Linked DNA regions of Lepisosteus oculatus. The protein of the gene in region 2 purifies or fractionates together with the protein of the main gene of each other region. This does not show direct contact. Links are inferred from orthologs where the notes say so. Each region holds a gene or a part of one and is shown on either strand. Other genes may lie near its edges. The genes, in order: rabggta and ras-related protein Rab-5A.

Region 1 (8,045 bases), on a different chromosome or scaffold from region 2:
GCAGCCAGGTCTGCCTGTGTCGCCCAGTTTCTATGGCCAGGCTGTGGTCACTGAGCCTGTACTTTGTCAGGGTCTGTTTCTGCTTGTTGTTTCTTATTTTGGTCAAATATTCAGCTAGTGTGTATTGTCTGTTTAGGGTTCTGTAGCATTCTACAGATCTCCATGTGCAGAGTTTCTGTGGGGTGTTTGTCCCATTGAGTGTACTCCTGGTCTGTGAGGGGACCCCACACTTCACTGCCGTATAGGGCAATGGGTTGGATTACACTTTCAAATATTTGGAGCCAGATTCTTGTTGGTGGGTTGATGTTGAAGAGCCTCCTTCTTATTGCGTAGAAAGCCCTGAGTGCCTTCTCCCTCAGTGCCTTCACTGCCAGGTCAAAACTCCCGGAAGAGCTGATGGTGAGACCGAGATATGTGTAGTTGGATGTGTGCTCCAATGTGTTGCTGTTGAGTGTGAATGGTCAGTGTCACTGTCAGTCTCTCTCTCCTCACTGTCCCTCTCTCCTGTTTTTGGACTGTCTTCCATGAATAATAATAATAATAATCTAGACACACATGAACAGATCCTGTCAGATTCAATCACACCTCACCAGTCAGTGCGATGGGCACGGGCCCGTTAATCACCTGAGTGTCTCCAGCTGCCCCAGGATCTCCCTCCTGAAGTTCCAGAGGGAGGCGAAGTCCGGGTTCGAGCCCAGGAGCTGAGCTGTGAGCTGCAGACTGTCCTCATCCAGCTGGCCCTCCGTCCTCTGGGAGACACAGAGACAGAGAGAGACATGCGAGACAGAGGGTCAGCGTAACTCCGCGTCTCTGTGACAGCCTCTGCGCGTCCTCCGGGGTGCTCGGTGCAGGAGCAGTCAGCCTGACCTTCTGAAAACAGGCGTCCCGGGCAGCGATGTACACTGTCAGCTTCTTCTCTCGCTCCTTACGCTTCTCCTCCTCCTGCTGCGCCGTGGATTTTAATTTCACACGTCCATGCTGAGAGAAAGAGAGACACTCAGTCCATTACCACTGAGAGAGAGGGGTTCATACAGACACACTGACTGACTGGACACTCCAGTACATTAACACTGCACTGAGAGAGAGGGGTTCATACAGACACACTGACTGACTGGACACTCCAGTACATTAACACTGCACTGAGAGAGAGGGGTTCATACAGACACACTGACTGGACACTCCAGTACATTAACACTGCACTGAGAGAGAGGGGTTCATACAGACACACTGACTGACTGGACACTCCAGTACATTAACACTGCACTGAGAGAGAGGGGTTCATACAGACACACTGACTGGACACTCCAGTACATTAACACTGCACTGAGAGAGAGGGGTTCATACAGACACACTGACTGACTGGACACTCCAGTACATTAACACTGCACTGAGAGAGAGGGGTTCATACAGACACACTGACTGACTGGACACTCCAGTACATTAACACTGCACTGAGAGAGAGGGGTTCATACAGACACACTGACTGACTGGACACTCCAGTACATTAACACTGCACTGAGAGAGAGGGGTTCATACAGACACACTGACTGGACACTCCAGTACATTAACACTGCACTGAGAGAGAGGGGTTCATACAGACACACTGACTGACTGGACACTCCAGTACATTAACACTGCACTGAGAGAGAGGGGTTCATACAGACACACTGACTGACTGGACACTCCAGTACATTAACACTGCACTGAGAGAGAGGGGTTCATACAGACACACTGACTGACTGGACACTCCAGTACATTAACACTGCACTGAGAGAGAGGGGTTCATACAGACACACTGACTGACTGGACACTCCAGTACATTAACACTGCACTGAGAGAGAGGGGTTCATACAGACACACTGACTGGACACTCCAGTACATTAACACTGCACTGAGAGAGAGGGGTTCATACAGACACACTGACTGACTGGACACTCCAGTACATTAACACTGCACTGAGAGAGAGGGGTTCATACAGACACACTGACTGGACACTCCAGTACATTAACACTGCACTGAGAGAGAGGGGTTCATACAGACACACTGACTGGACACTCCAGTACATTAACACTGCACTGAGAGAGAGGGGTTCATACAGACACACTGACTGACTGGACACTCCAGTACATTAACACTGCACTGAGAGAGAGGGGTTCATACAGACACACTGACTGACTGGACACTCCAGTACATTAACACTGCACTGAGAGAGAGGGGTTCATACAGACACACTGACTGACTGGACACTCCAGTACATTAACACTGCACTGAGAGAGAGGGGTTCATACAGACACACTGACTGGACACTCCAGTACATTAACACTGCACTGAGAGAGAGGGGTTCATACAGACACACTGACTGACTGGACACTCCAGTACATTAACACTGCACTGAGAGAGAGGGGTTCATACAGACACACTGACTGGACACTCCAGTACATTAACACTGCACTGAGAGAGAGAGACACACAGACACACTGGACACACTGGACACAAGATTACTTCATCAGTAACAATAATGTAATTACTCTCACCATGACTCCTGTCAATTAGGGATTGTCAGTCCTGGAAATAAGCAAAGCAGAGTTAGAAACAGACTGACAGGCAGAGAGACAGACAGGCAAGGTCAATCACAAAGACAGACAAGCCAGAGGAAGACACGCTGTCAGTGAGACCTGGCGACACGTTAAAGCCGGTTTCCACGATCTCTGCAGAGAAACACTGTCCAGCCAGCGTGCTGAAGTCCTGTTCACACTGCTGAGCGGCCCCTGCACGCACCGGGGCGCTGCAGATCATTGAGCATCAACAGCAACAACAGCATCGCAGCAATAATAACACTGGAGCAGGGAGAGAAACACCCGAGCTGAACTGGACTCTGACGTAGTGACCCCCCTGTCCGCCTCTGTCCCTACTGGACCTGGACTATATCTCTACTGGACCTGGACTGGATCTGTACTATATCTCTACTGGACGCGTACTGTACCTGTACTATATCTCTACTGGACCTGTGCTATATCTCTACTGGATCTGTACTAGACCTGTATCGGTCAGTCCGGATCCCGGATGTCAGAACCTCTACAGCGTCGCCTCGAGCCGCCGCGCTCTTCCGGGTCTGGCAGGAGAACCGTGGAGGCAGGGGGGGTCATTTTAAACACATCGTGACACCGGATCTTCAGATTAGTGAAAACGGGGTTCTGACAACATACAACGATCGTCAAATCACACAGTGATAAACAATCAATAAACTTGTTTTAAAGTATTTATCTGCCAACTCAGCATGGCATATGACCTTTGTTTGTGTGTAATACCCGGTTAACCTGTTCCCCCCTTGCACTGCTAGCTTGGTTCAGTCCAGCGGCGTTTCCTCCTCGGTCTTTGTTTATATCTGCGTGTCCCTGTGATTCGCGAGAGTCAGTGATATTAGAAAACATGTGAACGTTTTTGAAAAAAAAACGCAGTTGCAAGAAAAACCCACTACAGCACATTAAGACTGTGGAAACGTATCTAATTTAATGTGAGCAGAGAAACAAGGAGGAAGTGATCAGTCGATACAGCAGTTATATCGTGTGTGGATGTTGTTACAGGCTGAGGTGGATGACAATGGAGGTCTCGGAGATCATTTTCTCAGAAGTGCAAAGTGTTTATTGTGAGGAGCTGGGTTCCCAATGTCCACACCTAAAAAAAAACGACTGTGAAAAATACAAAATAACCAAAGGGGTGTAAAAACACACAAATGTAGTTACAAGAAGATACACCTTAATTGCTTTAAAAGTTGATTGCAGTAGGTACTCCTATTCTACACTACTGCAAGTTTTCTGCTATTTTTTTTAAAAAAACTAAGTTTTATTTTTATGTATATAAAAAAAATACAACAACCAGGGTGTACGGATGTCACAACATCATTTGAATGAAACAGAATAACAAATCAGAACCTTATCAACAGTGCAAAGGTTGAGTGATTTTAGGGGTCACATTAAATAATTCTGCGTAATTAAGTTTAGATAATAATTTATATGTGAAAAGATTTCTGTAAACCAATTCACCAAACATATTTTTATATTTTAAATGAATTTGAGTATAGCTTGAATTAGAAAATTCTTTAAAGCACAGTTTTTTTACTCTACACATATGTGTACACATACACATAAAAGTTAGATTTACACAAATATTACTATTATTTAACCAAGGACATACAGAGGGTCATAAATCTATAATAATAATAATAATAATAATACAAAATTGCTTACACTTATAGGGCGGTTTTCTGTACACTCCACTCAAAGCTCTTTACAGGTAATGGGAATCCCCTCCACCAGCACCAATGTGCAGCCCCACCTGGATGATGCGATGGCAGCCATAGGTTGAATGATAACATGAGAAAAAAATGTGTTCGGTTGTTTCAATATCTGATTCACAAAAAGCACAGGTGTTACAGTCAAAGTGAAACCGTTTTCTGAGAAATTCCTTAGAGAAATATGTGTTGCTCAGTATTTGAAAATGTCTTTAGTTTTTGGTGGCGTGGGGAGAGTAATGTATTCAGGGTTAGCAGAAATAGGAGAATCATTGTCTATATCATTAAAAATTACTTTCTCCTTGATAACAGGGAAGACATCTCTTGGTCGGATGTATTTTGAATTAGAATTGTTCTGATGTATTTATTATTGCACTTTTTTTCTAAAATATTGTTACAGTTTTAGGTGACTTTTCTAACTTCAAAGCAGAGAGGATGTTTGCTGAAGTCTGGGGGTCCCTTGAGCAGAAACCATTAAAGGTGCCTTTTTACAGTCTAGTGTCCCCATCACTATAATGGGGAATGAGGACCCATACACACACACCACAGGGTGAGCACCCCCTACTGGCCCCACTAACACCTCTCCCAGGAGTCTCCCATCCAGATACAGACCAGGCTCACACCTGCTGAGATTCAGGGGACTGACAGGGGTGAGTTTCAGGGTGATATAGCTGCTGATGTTAAATCATGATGAAGATGAAGATGAAGACCAAATGTCAAATATTCAGAATTTCAGAGTTTATTTAATACAGAAATAGTTCTATCTGAGTCCAGGCCATGACAGTGAAGCAGCAATGTCCATCATGTAGAAAGCGACTGGCATTCAGCTGACGTGTTAGTCTGTGTCTGATGGTGACCCAGCTAGTCAGCCATGAATCTGGAGAATTTACAGGTGAGAGATAAAGAAAACAACTGTGACTCAATTTTACTGATTTACTGAAAGAAGTGATTAATGCAGAGCAAACAGAATAGAGCAATAACATGGACTGAAAGTAGAAAGTAGAACAGTTTGACACAAGCCAGTAATAATTTCATTTTCCAAGAGAGCCCCTCCCACAGGTGATGATGTTTCTGGTGACTGAACGAGTAGCGTTGAGAGCAGATGTGGACATGCCCAGCAGTGGGTGGAGAAAACAACACCCAAGAAACAGAAGAACAATTTCAAATGAAAAAGACTAAACGATTTACATGCCAGGAGAGAGAATCAGACAATGTGCTGATTCAGTCTGTGTGATTGACAGGACAGATGATCAGTGGGGCTGAGTTTGTACCTCCCTCATGAAGATAGGGGCTGAAGTATGGAAAGAGTTTCTCAGTGAAGGAGGCAGTGAAGGTGTAGATATGAGACCTGTTGTCCACATTGTAAAAGGAGACCTGTCCCCCCTCATAGTCCACATACACCCCCACCTTCTGGGGCTTCTGGCTCAGGGGGAGGAGGACTGAGGAGTCATCAAGAGCCTTGTACTCATTCCCATTCCTCAGCCACACAGTCCAGTAACCATCCTCAGGGCTCACTGTGATCTCCCCCTTCCTGTTGATGGACTCTCTGGCGACTCCCAATGTCCACTTAGTCTTCTCTCCCACCTCCACCTCCCAGTAGTGTCTCCCTGAGGTGATCCCATCCTTTCCCAGGACACAGGGACAATGATCAAATCTCTCTGGATTGTCAGGGAGATCCTGTCGTGTGTCTCCCAGTCTCACTTGTTTCCCATCCTCAGACAGGATGAGATAGAGATGAGCTGTATTGGGGTCCAGAGTCACATCAGCTGTGGATCAGAGAGCAGACAGAGAGAATGAAATGATCTGTATCTCACTCCTCTCTCAGATGAAAATACAGGCCCAGCCCGGCTGAGATGAGCTGTGAGCGTGTGCAGAGCTCTCACACTGCGAGAGTCTGGCTCCTGTGGGAGAAAGTGTCTTTAAATCTGAAGGAGACCTGATGATCCACTGTGTGCAGATCACACGGCTGAGGGCATCTTTATACTGATGGATACATTATTTCACAAGAAGAAAAACGATCAAACTGTCTTTTCATGGTTATTCTGGTTCCTCTCTATCAGTTAGATTATAAAAGTCTCGTTAAGACAAAATTCTTAGAAGCTGAAATTGCTGCCACTTCATTAACAATAACAGGGACCTGAATCACACAGGCAGTAACTGCAAGCTTGTCTCCTCCTGCGCTGCTGAGGACAGTAATAAAAAGGATCTGTTGTTTGTGTGTGTTAAGAGCTGTCTGTCAGTGTATTTAACTCTGTCACCTGAATTAAGGCTGAAGTTGTCTTTACACAAGACAGGGGAACCCGAGAGAGAACAGACAAAGCTTGTGTGTGTCTTTTTTTCTTGTTCGTTACACACAAATCAGTGTAATACGTATGGAAACCTGAAAAACAGACATTGTGGGTCAGTTGTAACGAACTGACACAGCGCACTAACTGGAGCTCAGCCCCTGGTCAGCACACAGCTCCGTGTTAAACTAGCGCGCCAACTTCAGACCAAGAGCAACGAACTTGGCCGCTGAAATCAGTCCGCAGCTCCGAGCTGAACCTGCTCTCCACTGCAACGAGCCCAGAGTGAGAGCTGCTGCCCTCTAGAGGTGACTGGAGTACAGGACTGACTCCCAGCGCCTCTTCACATGGGGAGACAGCTCAGTGTGGGACAGGCGGAGCTCTGGATCACAGGAGAATAGAGGGGAAACAACACCGGCACTACGGCAGGAAGTCATGTGTCCGTCGCTTGGAAAAGGATTGTAATGTTTAGCTTAAACTACTTTCCAGTGAAACCACATTTATTGATAAAGAACTTAGTTAACGTGCTTATTAATAAGGGTAATTTAATAAAAATTAATTTTATTGCACATAAGTAGCTGTATGTAAAGCATATTATATACTGTATGCGACAGTGTATTTTCTTTATCCCAGGGAGTGAAGAGAACAGAAAATAAGAAAATATTTAAATATTGTGAGTCTTGAATGTGTTTTGTCACATCTGGTTGTGAATTGAGCAGATTTGTTATTTATTTGTTGTGATTAGTCTCTACAATTGTATTTCTTAAGGGAAAGCAGGGATATTCAGAAACTGGGGGAACAGATATTAAAGTTTTGCAGTCAAATGTAAAGGTTAAAGAAATAAAAATACTGAAATCTCCATCTTTTTAAAAGTGATGATTAGTGACAGTTCTAGATGAAGGCAGTCTGCAGGAATGGCTGTAAGAGCTGATGGAAGGACATCTGTGGATATTACTGCACAGAATGATTTAACCTCAATAACTTTCCTTACTCGTTTCGACATCAGTTTGCTGGACTAATAATTAATTTACCTCCAGATCTCACTGTTTTCACTGTTTGTATTTGTTGAGCCATGTGTTGGTGACCCTGCTCTTCAAGGCTCAGCTGTGTGAGTCTGCAGGTGTGTGTTCATGCTGAAGATCACGATGGTCAGGTACAGTATAACTTCTACAGGCAGCGCCTGGCTCAGACAGACTACAGAAGGAGAGAACCTGGCAGTTCTGCTGCAGACCAGTGAAGAGAGCTTTCCCTGGATGGCCAGGTGAGAGGATGGAGTCACTGGTACTGAACTCCTCTGTGCAGAACCGTGCGTCTCGAGAGCAGTGCCAGCAGGAAATGCCGAGTGGCCCTCAAGCTAATAGCAGCGAGGGGCCACACCTCCTCCTGGGTACCAGTGCAACAGCTCCAGAGCAGCCCAGAGTTACCATGGAGATACAGCAGGGAGCCCAGAGACTCCCCCTGAGCCAGGA
Region 2 (7,924 bases):
GAATCCAAGATTGGTGTACTGTAGTTTCTGATTCCCAAAGATTCATTCTTGAGGGGTGCACCTAAATTAATATAAGTGATAAGTTTCTTTACCATCTAATGTGAAAGCAATCCTAAAATTGCTGCAGGATTTACACCAATCACCAAGATTCCACAAAAGATTAGAATTTTTTAAATCGTGCTAAAATTCTATTTATTTCATAATTTTGCACTGTTTTTCACACTTACTTCATTTGTAATGTCATATACAACTATAGCAGCCTGTGCGCCTCTGTAGTACATTGGTGCTAAACTGTGGTAACGCTCTTGTCCAGCAGTGTCCCAGATTTCAAACTTCACTGTTGTGTCATCCAGACACACAGTCTGCGTCAGGAAAGCAGCTACAGTTAAAAGGATAAACACACAAGAAAAAGCAATGATGACATGTTTTGTACAGATAATCACAGCATGCATTTACCATCTTAAAGGAAGAGTGAACTCCTAGATTCTTTTAACTCCAACGGCCACAACAGAGCACATTAAGAACAAAAGAATGGTTACAAGGGACAGATGGTCATTCAGCGTATCTAGCCCGTTTGATAGTTAGTAGCCAAAGGATCCAAGAATCTCTTCCAACAGTTTCTTGAACCAGGGATTTAACTTCAAAACATACCAGAGTAACATCCACTACCAACCACAAATAAATCAAGAACTCAAACAGACATCCTATTAATTAAAAAAAAACAGCTTCGGTTCAGATTCACTGAAGTACCTTTTCTCTACTTACCTCCTATTGTACTCTCTTGAAACTCATGAAACTGCCCTTTCACAAAGCGCAGCACTAAACTGGACTTCCCCACAGCAGACTCTCCAAGAAGCACTAGCTTAAACTGGCAAATCTTATTGCCGGCATTTGGTCCATTGGGTCTTGTTGCACCTCCTCGACTTGCCATGACCTAAACACCAGTCTCCTGCTCTGGACTCTTGTTTGACCACTGTCCTCCTTGTCTTCTCGGTTATAAAACTGTGAATAAAGACATGACAACAATAAAAACCAGGGACGATAAAGGCATGATAAGCAGTGAAGAACTCTGACATGTCCTTGTCTCTACTGTATGAATCTGGCTGCTACAGTTAAAGGATGTTTTCAACTTCAAACATTACCAGCAATTCTGAAGATTCTTGAGAAAATTAAGTCTACAGTTGGGGTATGTAATGTTTGCACTTCTATCCCGTGTCTTCACTCCAGCAAACCCTTAAAGAAATGTTTTATTTGCTAAAAACTAATGTAATCTAACCTTCATTTTTGCTTACTTTTCAGCATATTAAGTCTGTACCATCTCTTGTGAATCCCTGATAATGTTATAAACAATATACAATATTATTCTGTTGCATAGGACTTGAATAGTGAACATATGAAGTATTACAGACATTAATTTCTGAAATTATTACATAATTAACACAGATCCTAAATCACCTTTATTTTTAAACATTAATGTTGATTCTATATACTGAATACATCAGCCTTAAAGAACCGTAGACATGCAGTTACTGGCCTATACAATCGCTTATATTTTATAGATTTCTAGTGTTATTCAGATTAAAGCCTATAACATTCTATAAATTAAAGGACATGATTTAGGTAATGAAAAGGTCATTTCTGGATAAGACAAAATTAAGGAACTGACATCAAACTGTAGTAAGCTGAATTCTTGCAACATTTCTGTAAAACAAAAATCAGATGCACATTGAAATAGCATGGCTATAATTTAATTAGGTCAACAAAAGTGCATTAATTAAAACATAAGCAACATTATAATAGCACTTAAAACAAAGACCAAACAAATTATCATGGAGAACTATTTACTAATCTGAAAATCAACAGATCAATATTGCCATTACCGTTACAAACACAGCATCCGCTTTCAAAGCACATTTTTCGTATTTAAACATAACATATAGACACCACTTCATGAAACTATTCAGAAAACCATGAAAGATATAAATGCAATAATGAAGTCTACCCTCGGGAGACCAAAACACGGTATAAACCCAACTCTGATTTATTCTGGGAACGGAAAAGCGACTTGCTTCCATGGTACAGTATTTGAGTGTTGGTGTCCTCTGCACCTTGGTTTGGTTTTCCTGGTTAAGATGAATGTGCATTACAGAAATTATTTTATTATCCTCTATTCGGGGACTTATGAATTTACAATCGCCTGGACTAGGATAGCGACAGCAAGTAAATAAGACATAGGTTAGGCCTGTGACGTTTGAAGTCACTGTCTGTGTACACAGCTGTAAGAAAACAGACGCACCCTTGTTAAGCAGGTGATCACTTTTTGAAGAAACTGATATCCACGTTATGTACCTTAAAACTATTAAAATGCTATTTAGAAAACAACACTAACAGAAGCAACGCATCATGTTGTCGAAGGTAATGATACAGATACACCGCAAAAACGGTGTTGGATGCTTACTTCCAATTATTAGCAAACTACACAGAATATCTGATCATGTCAAGGCAATCGAAGTCTGCCAACGTGTTACGTCTAATGGAAAAAAATGTGATTATATTGAGATTACTTTCCATAATTTATACATGCTGTTTGAGTGGAATACCCCAGTATCACGCCGAGAAATAAAACTCTTCCGGTACAAACTATGTATCCAGTTCTAACGCTCTGCTACGTCGGGTGACTCTCGACAAAAATAAAGGCTTAAAGAAGCAAAATCAGATGAGTTTAAAAATGTATTGTTTTCCAACCCCTTTCGTTTTGTTTCTTAAAATGCAGAAGGAAGACGCCATTTTGGATAACACTAGTTTGGGAAAATCAAATATACATTTCCTCTTCTGCAATCAATTAATCAAGATTTAATTGCGTATTAAAAATAGAAGGTGACATTACCTTACACCTCTACATATAATGATTAAAAATCCATAAACAATACAAACCGCAAATTCTTGTTAACAATTTAGGAAAACTAACAAAAAGGCTCTTCCCCAGACCTAGGGCCTGTTTGTGTTCCCCACTATCAACGAACACCGATGATTCAACAACTTGATCACTTTACCTGATGGACAGAAGAATATGTATTTTCACGACCTTCCAACACAGGGGGCTTGTACAGAAATGTTTAAAATACAGTTTCTTGAAGCTGTAAAAATACGTATATTTTCACCGGACCAGATCACGTCTCCTCCTTTCTTTTTTTCTCGCAACTTCCCCCTTTAGAACCAAAACACACACACGAGCACTTCCGCCCCTCACCTTACGTCACACAAGCGCATCCGCCCCTCATCCGCCACGTCACATAGCAGTTCTGCAAGGCTTTGCAATGCAATTAGTGTTAGTTAATTAGTGTTGTTCGGTTTCTACTACGGCAGTCACCTATAAAGTACTCAAAGCATTCACGTGTGAGGTTGCAAAGCCCAGTGTTTTTTTCCCAAAAAATATGCAGAATAAAACACGGTTCTTGTTATTAATTGCGATTTTGTGCTTTTAATTTGTTTCGTGTTTCTTTTCTACGGTATTTGGCATCATATCCCAAAGAAAACCATACAGAAAACCTCTTGAAAGATCCTGCATGTTTCAATTATGAATCCTTGAAGGAATCGAGTTTTCAACCTGTAGCATCTTAATGGGCTGTACTATTGTGTAATTCAAAAATTATCCCTTCTAAAGCCTTCATATTTTGGAGGGAAATATCTAAAAGTGCCTAGTTTACCTCTCACTGTGCCATGTGAGCTTTGACGTTTTGTCATGTACTACATACATAATGGAAGCAGCACAGTCGCTGCTGATGTGTAGCAGCTGTCTCCTAGCACCTGTTGCCTAGCTGCGCACCATAAACATTATGTGAAATGTATCATGATCCCAGTACTTGAACAATGCAGTGCTAGCCACTGACTTGTGCAGGAGTGTGATATGAGAAATATCTTTATGTAGCGCTTGAAGACAAACCGCTTTTCGATGTAGTACAACGTTCAATTTTCTTATACTACAAAGAGGAAAAATGTTGGAACGTGAGGCTATATATGCTGCGAAATATAAGGACAGATTTCCAAGTATTAAATCGGTAATGTTTTATTTATTTATTTCATCGTGTAATATTTTAGCTTGCAAAATACTTCATGACCAGCCAGAATTAGAAACCAGAATATCTCTGTGTTCCTTGTAGTACAAATACATCTAGTTATGGTGGATTTAAGGTGGATTGAAAACCGTTTTGATTAAATCATCTAATTTCTAATTTGTCATGTGTATTTATGTGTAGACGTGATATGAGTATTTGTATAAGATTTTTTTTTTTATGGAACCTACACTGATTTTGTGCGCTGATTTCTCTCGTAGGCAGGAAAGTTAATACCAACAGGCGAAAGAGCAGAAACATGTCTTAAGGAAATTACTCCCAGGGTAAGTTTTGTTTTCTTAATTCGCAGCCAGTTTGGGCTACTGGTGCCTAATAGTAGTTAATTGATAAAAGAAGCCTGAGGTATGAGTATCGGGAACATGACTGTATGTTCCAGGAACCCAAACACTTTGAAGAAAAAAATATCCCCCGTTTTCAGATTTCCCCCATGGATTCCGCTTGTATCCTTGGCTTGTGTAGGATGGTCGATTCTGATGAGATCAACTGTATTGCCTTTATCAAAAATACAATTTCTTAGACTGTCCTTGTATGAATATTATTGAAGCCTGGGGACTATCTGATCACTCTTCCTTTTAAGGGTGGAAGAATAATTATATTTTTGTATGTCGCACAGTGACGACAGTTGTGCACCGTTCTAAATTAAACCTTACTGTACTGTATTGCACTTTTTAAATGTAATGTTCCTTGGTTTAAATTCATTTAAACTTTAACTATATTTGTCTTGCAACTGTGTTTTAGTGCATCTCCATATTGTCTACAGGAGGAAATTATTAAGAAAGTAAAAAAAGTTAAAAATGAGAGGATGCCATTTAATAATAAATAATAATAATTGCTTACACTTATATAGCGCTTTTCTGGACACTCCACTCAAAGCGCTTTACAGGTAATGGGGACTCCTCTCCACCACCAACGTGCAGCATCCACCTTGATGATGCGACGGGAGCCATAGTGCGCCAGAACGCTCACCACACATCAGATATCAGTGGGGATGAGAGCAGAGTAATGTACCCAATTCATAGAGGGGGATTATTAGGAGGCCATGATTGGTAAGGGCCAATGGGAAATTTGGCCAGGATGCCGGGGTTACGCCCCTACTCTTTTCGAGAAGCGCCCTGGGATTTTTAATGACCACAGAGAGTCAGGACCTCGGTTTTACGTCTCATCCAAAGGACGGCACCTGTTTACAGTATAGTGTCCCCGTCACTATACTGGAACATTAGGACCCACATGGACTGCAGGGTGAGCGCCCCCTGGTGGTCCCACTAACACCTCTTCCAGCAGCAAACTCAGTTTTTCCCGGGAAAATACATCCAGGTACTGACCAGGCACACACCTACTTAGCTTCAGTGGGTTGCCAGTTGTGAGTTGCAGGGTGATATGGCTGCTGGCCATTCTAGCTTATTTGGTAGTTAGTAGTTAATGAATCCAAGGATTTTGTCCAGCCATTTCTTGTTTTATGCTCTCACTACCCTTTGGGATCCACTGAGTTGACCTTGTCAATAACATAGAAGATTTTAAATATATACAGTATATCAGGTCTCCTCATAATCTTCCCTGTTTAAGACTAAAATGTTGAGTTCCTTCAGCCAGTCAGTATAGGACATTCCAATAAGCCAAGGAATTCACTATATTCTGGACTGATTCTAGATCAGCAATATATTTACATGATGATCACAATTATACACAATGTTCTAATTGGGTCCTTATTAGTGCATTATACAATATTCCTTGAAATTCTTTAAATCCTATGCTTTTAACTATGCATCCTCGCGTTTTGTTTATTTCTTAATTGCTTCCCCACATTATCTGGTGCTGTATTTATAATTGCTTACCCACCTTCATATAATTTGATGCAGTTTATGTTTCTGCAGTTCTTTGTGGATTCTTGTTCCTAGACAGCTGGTGCCTATCCCATTTACTGTTTGAGACTACACAGTTTAATCGGACATGTTTCTACAGCCGGCATCTGCTATGGAATGTCTTCCAAGGGCACAAAAAAGCAGAAGCCTTCTTTTGCACTCCATGTCCTTACCTATGGGAGAATTAACTTTTAACTGTAGCTATATAGAAATATATTTAATATATTAATATTTTATATATTTAACTATATGATAGTAATATTTAATATTACTATATAGCAAAGTAACTGTATAACAATGTTATTTTGTATATGTGTATGGGTACATGTACTGTACACACATATATATATACTATATATATAGTGTACTGTCTCTTGCCAGGAATTATAAAAGCTTTAAATAAAGTCCTCATCCTGCATATGTGATTATTATTTATACTTGTATCAATTCATATATATGTATATACTGTATGTTGGATATGATGTGTGATTGATTTTTTTATTGCCTTTGACATTATGAAAACATTTTCAAAAAGAAGGCATTTATGTGACCTTGAATTTTATTAGATATGCATGATCTCATTAGTATCTATGAAGTGTTAGTAATATTCTTACCTTTATTTGCAGCCTGTTACTCCTCCAGTAGTTAAGAAGTTTCTGAACACAACACGACCAGATCCAGGGGCTGTCAGAGTGTTCTATGGGAAAGCCGGTGATCCAGATGTAGCTAGTAGTCTTGTGCATGGTGTGAGCACAAGGCCCTCTTTAACTGTAAGTCTGTAGGCATATATAATCATAGTTTCTCAGAAACAAAACAATTTATTCAGAACCTTTATTGCATTATAGTCTAATGTACTGTTTTTGTGTTTTGTTGTGATTTTACATCTCCACTTACCATTAATACTGTAAATGCTCACAAAAAAGATATAATTTCTTTCAAATTTGTCATACTCTTCCTTGTTTCTAAGGTGGACTATCATATCCTTGTAATACTTAATCCTGATTGATATACAGTAGTTTTGAACATTTGTTAGTGTGCTGTCATCTTGGAATAATTCTTTTCTTTAAGGATTTCTTGATCAATAACAATCATGATTTCATTACATTTAACATTCTCATGCTCAGGTGCAACAGTTTTTCAGCATTTCAATTTAAGAATGAAGTATTGCTCAAATTCCCAATCTCTTTTTAGGATCTGTTTTTTTCTAAGTTTAACTAACTTTCTGTCTTTATTCCGTTAACTGTATAGCTATTTAATTTGTCTCTTCCCAACTTGTTCTGATGATTTTCTGCACTGTTATGACGATGTTGACGATGATTATTAACTTGACGGTAGTATGCTGGCTTGGTGGTTAGCACTGCAACCACCTTACAGCTCTAAATGTCTTCAGCCCAATTACCTCATGGAATTCTGGGTGAAGTGAGAAGGCTTACCCTGTGTTCACTTAGTGTGACGCTGGTGAGGGATGTCCCTTTGTTGGATACAGTATGTTTAAGCAATGAGTGGCAAACAATGTCTGTCGGATCCAAAAGCAAAACAGCAAAATTTTGTGTGTATGCAATTCCCGCTCCTCAAAATGGAACGACGGATAATAGAAAACAAATATTTTCTTCAGGTGAAGCATCATTCCCAGCTAATTCGATTAGCTCTGTAAGGTTGGTCCTCCTACTAAAAACACTAACAGTGATTAAAAAGTGATTCATTTCTGCTACATTTGTGCTGTTCCAATCAGTATTTGTACTGCTTTGGTTTCTGAGATATTAAGTGTTCTTTTTTAGGAAGTGACATCACTCAGCTGCTCTACAACAACATCCACTTGTGTTCTGTGGATTCATTCAAACCTCCATTTATACTGGAATTAAACTAAAATCCAAGAGCTGTGAGACAGCAGCACTAACTGATAAATCACTGTGCCTCTCATTGAATGGATAT

The links.
Region 1: the proteins of ras-related protein Rab-5A (region 2) and rabggta purify together in Homo sapiens (affinity purification with mass spectrometry; 3 studies listed by BioGRID and IntAct, counting the BioPlex papers as one, with this or other methods). This does not show direct contact. The link is inferred for Lepisosteus oculatus from reciprocal best matches to the Homo sapiens genes RAB5A and RABGGTA.

Annotation. Positions count from the first base shown.
Region 1 is NC_090699.1:13,765,245-13,773,289, forward strand, and holds the start of rabggta (geranylgeranyl transferase type-2 subunit alpha), read right to left. Parts: upstream 3,137-8,045; 5' UTR 3,039-3,136; exon of another isoform or gene 2,676-3,038; intron 2,566-2,675; 5' UTR 2,538-2,565; coding exon 2,535-2,537; intron 979-2,534; coding exon 868-978; intron 750-867; coding exon 625-749; intron 1-624. Other genes in the region: E3 ubiquitin-protein ligase TRIM39-like, read right to left, coding at 5,513-6,057. UniProt on the Homo sapiens protein: Catalyzes the transfer of a geranylgeranyl moiety from geranylgeranyl diphosphate to both cysteines of Rab proteins with the C-terminal sequence -XXCC, -XCXC and -CCXX, such as RAB1A, RAB3A, RAB5A and RAB7A.
Region 2 is NC_090705.1:30,055,001-30,062,924, reverse strand, and holds the start of ras-related protein Rab-5A, read right to left. Parts: upstream 3,238-7,924; 5' UTR 3,054-3,237; intron 1,690-3,053; exon of another isoform or gene 1,667-1,689; intron 1,003-1,666; 5' UTR 932-1,002; coding exon 766-931; intron 380-765; coding exon 228-379; intron 1-227. Other genes in the region: efhb (EF-hand domain-containing family member B), read left to right, coding at 3,996-4,058, 4,334-4,396, 6,619-6,762. UniProt on the Homo sapiens protein: The small GTPases Rab are key regulators of intracellular membrane trafficking, from the formation of transport vesicles to their fusion with membranes.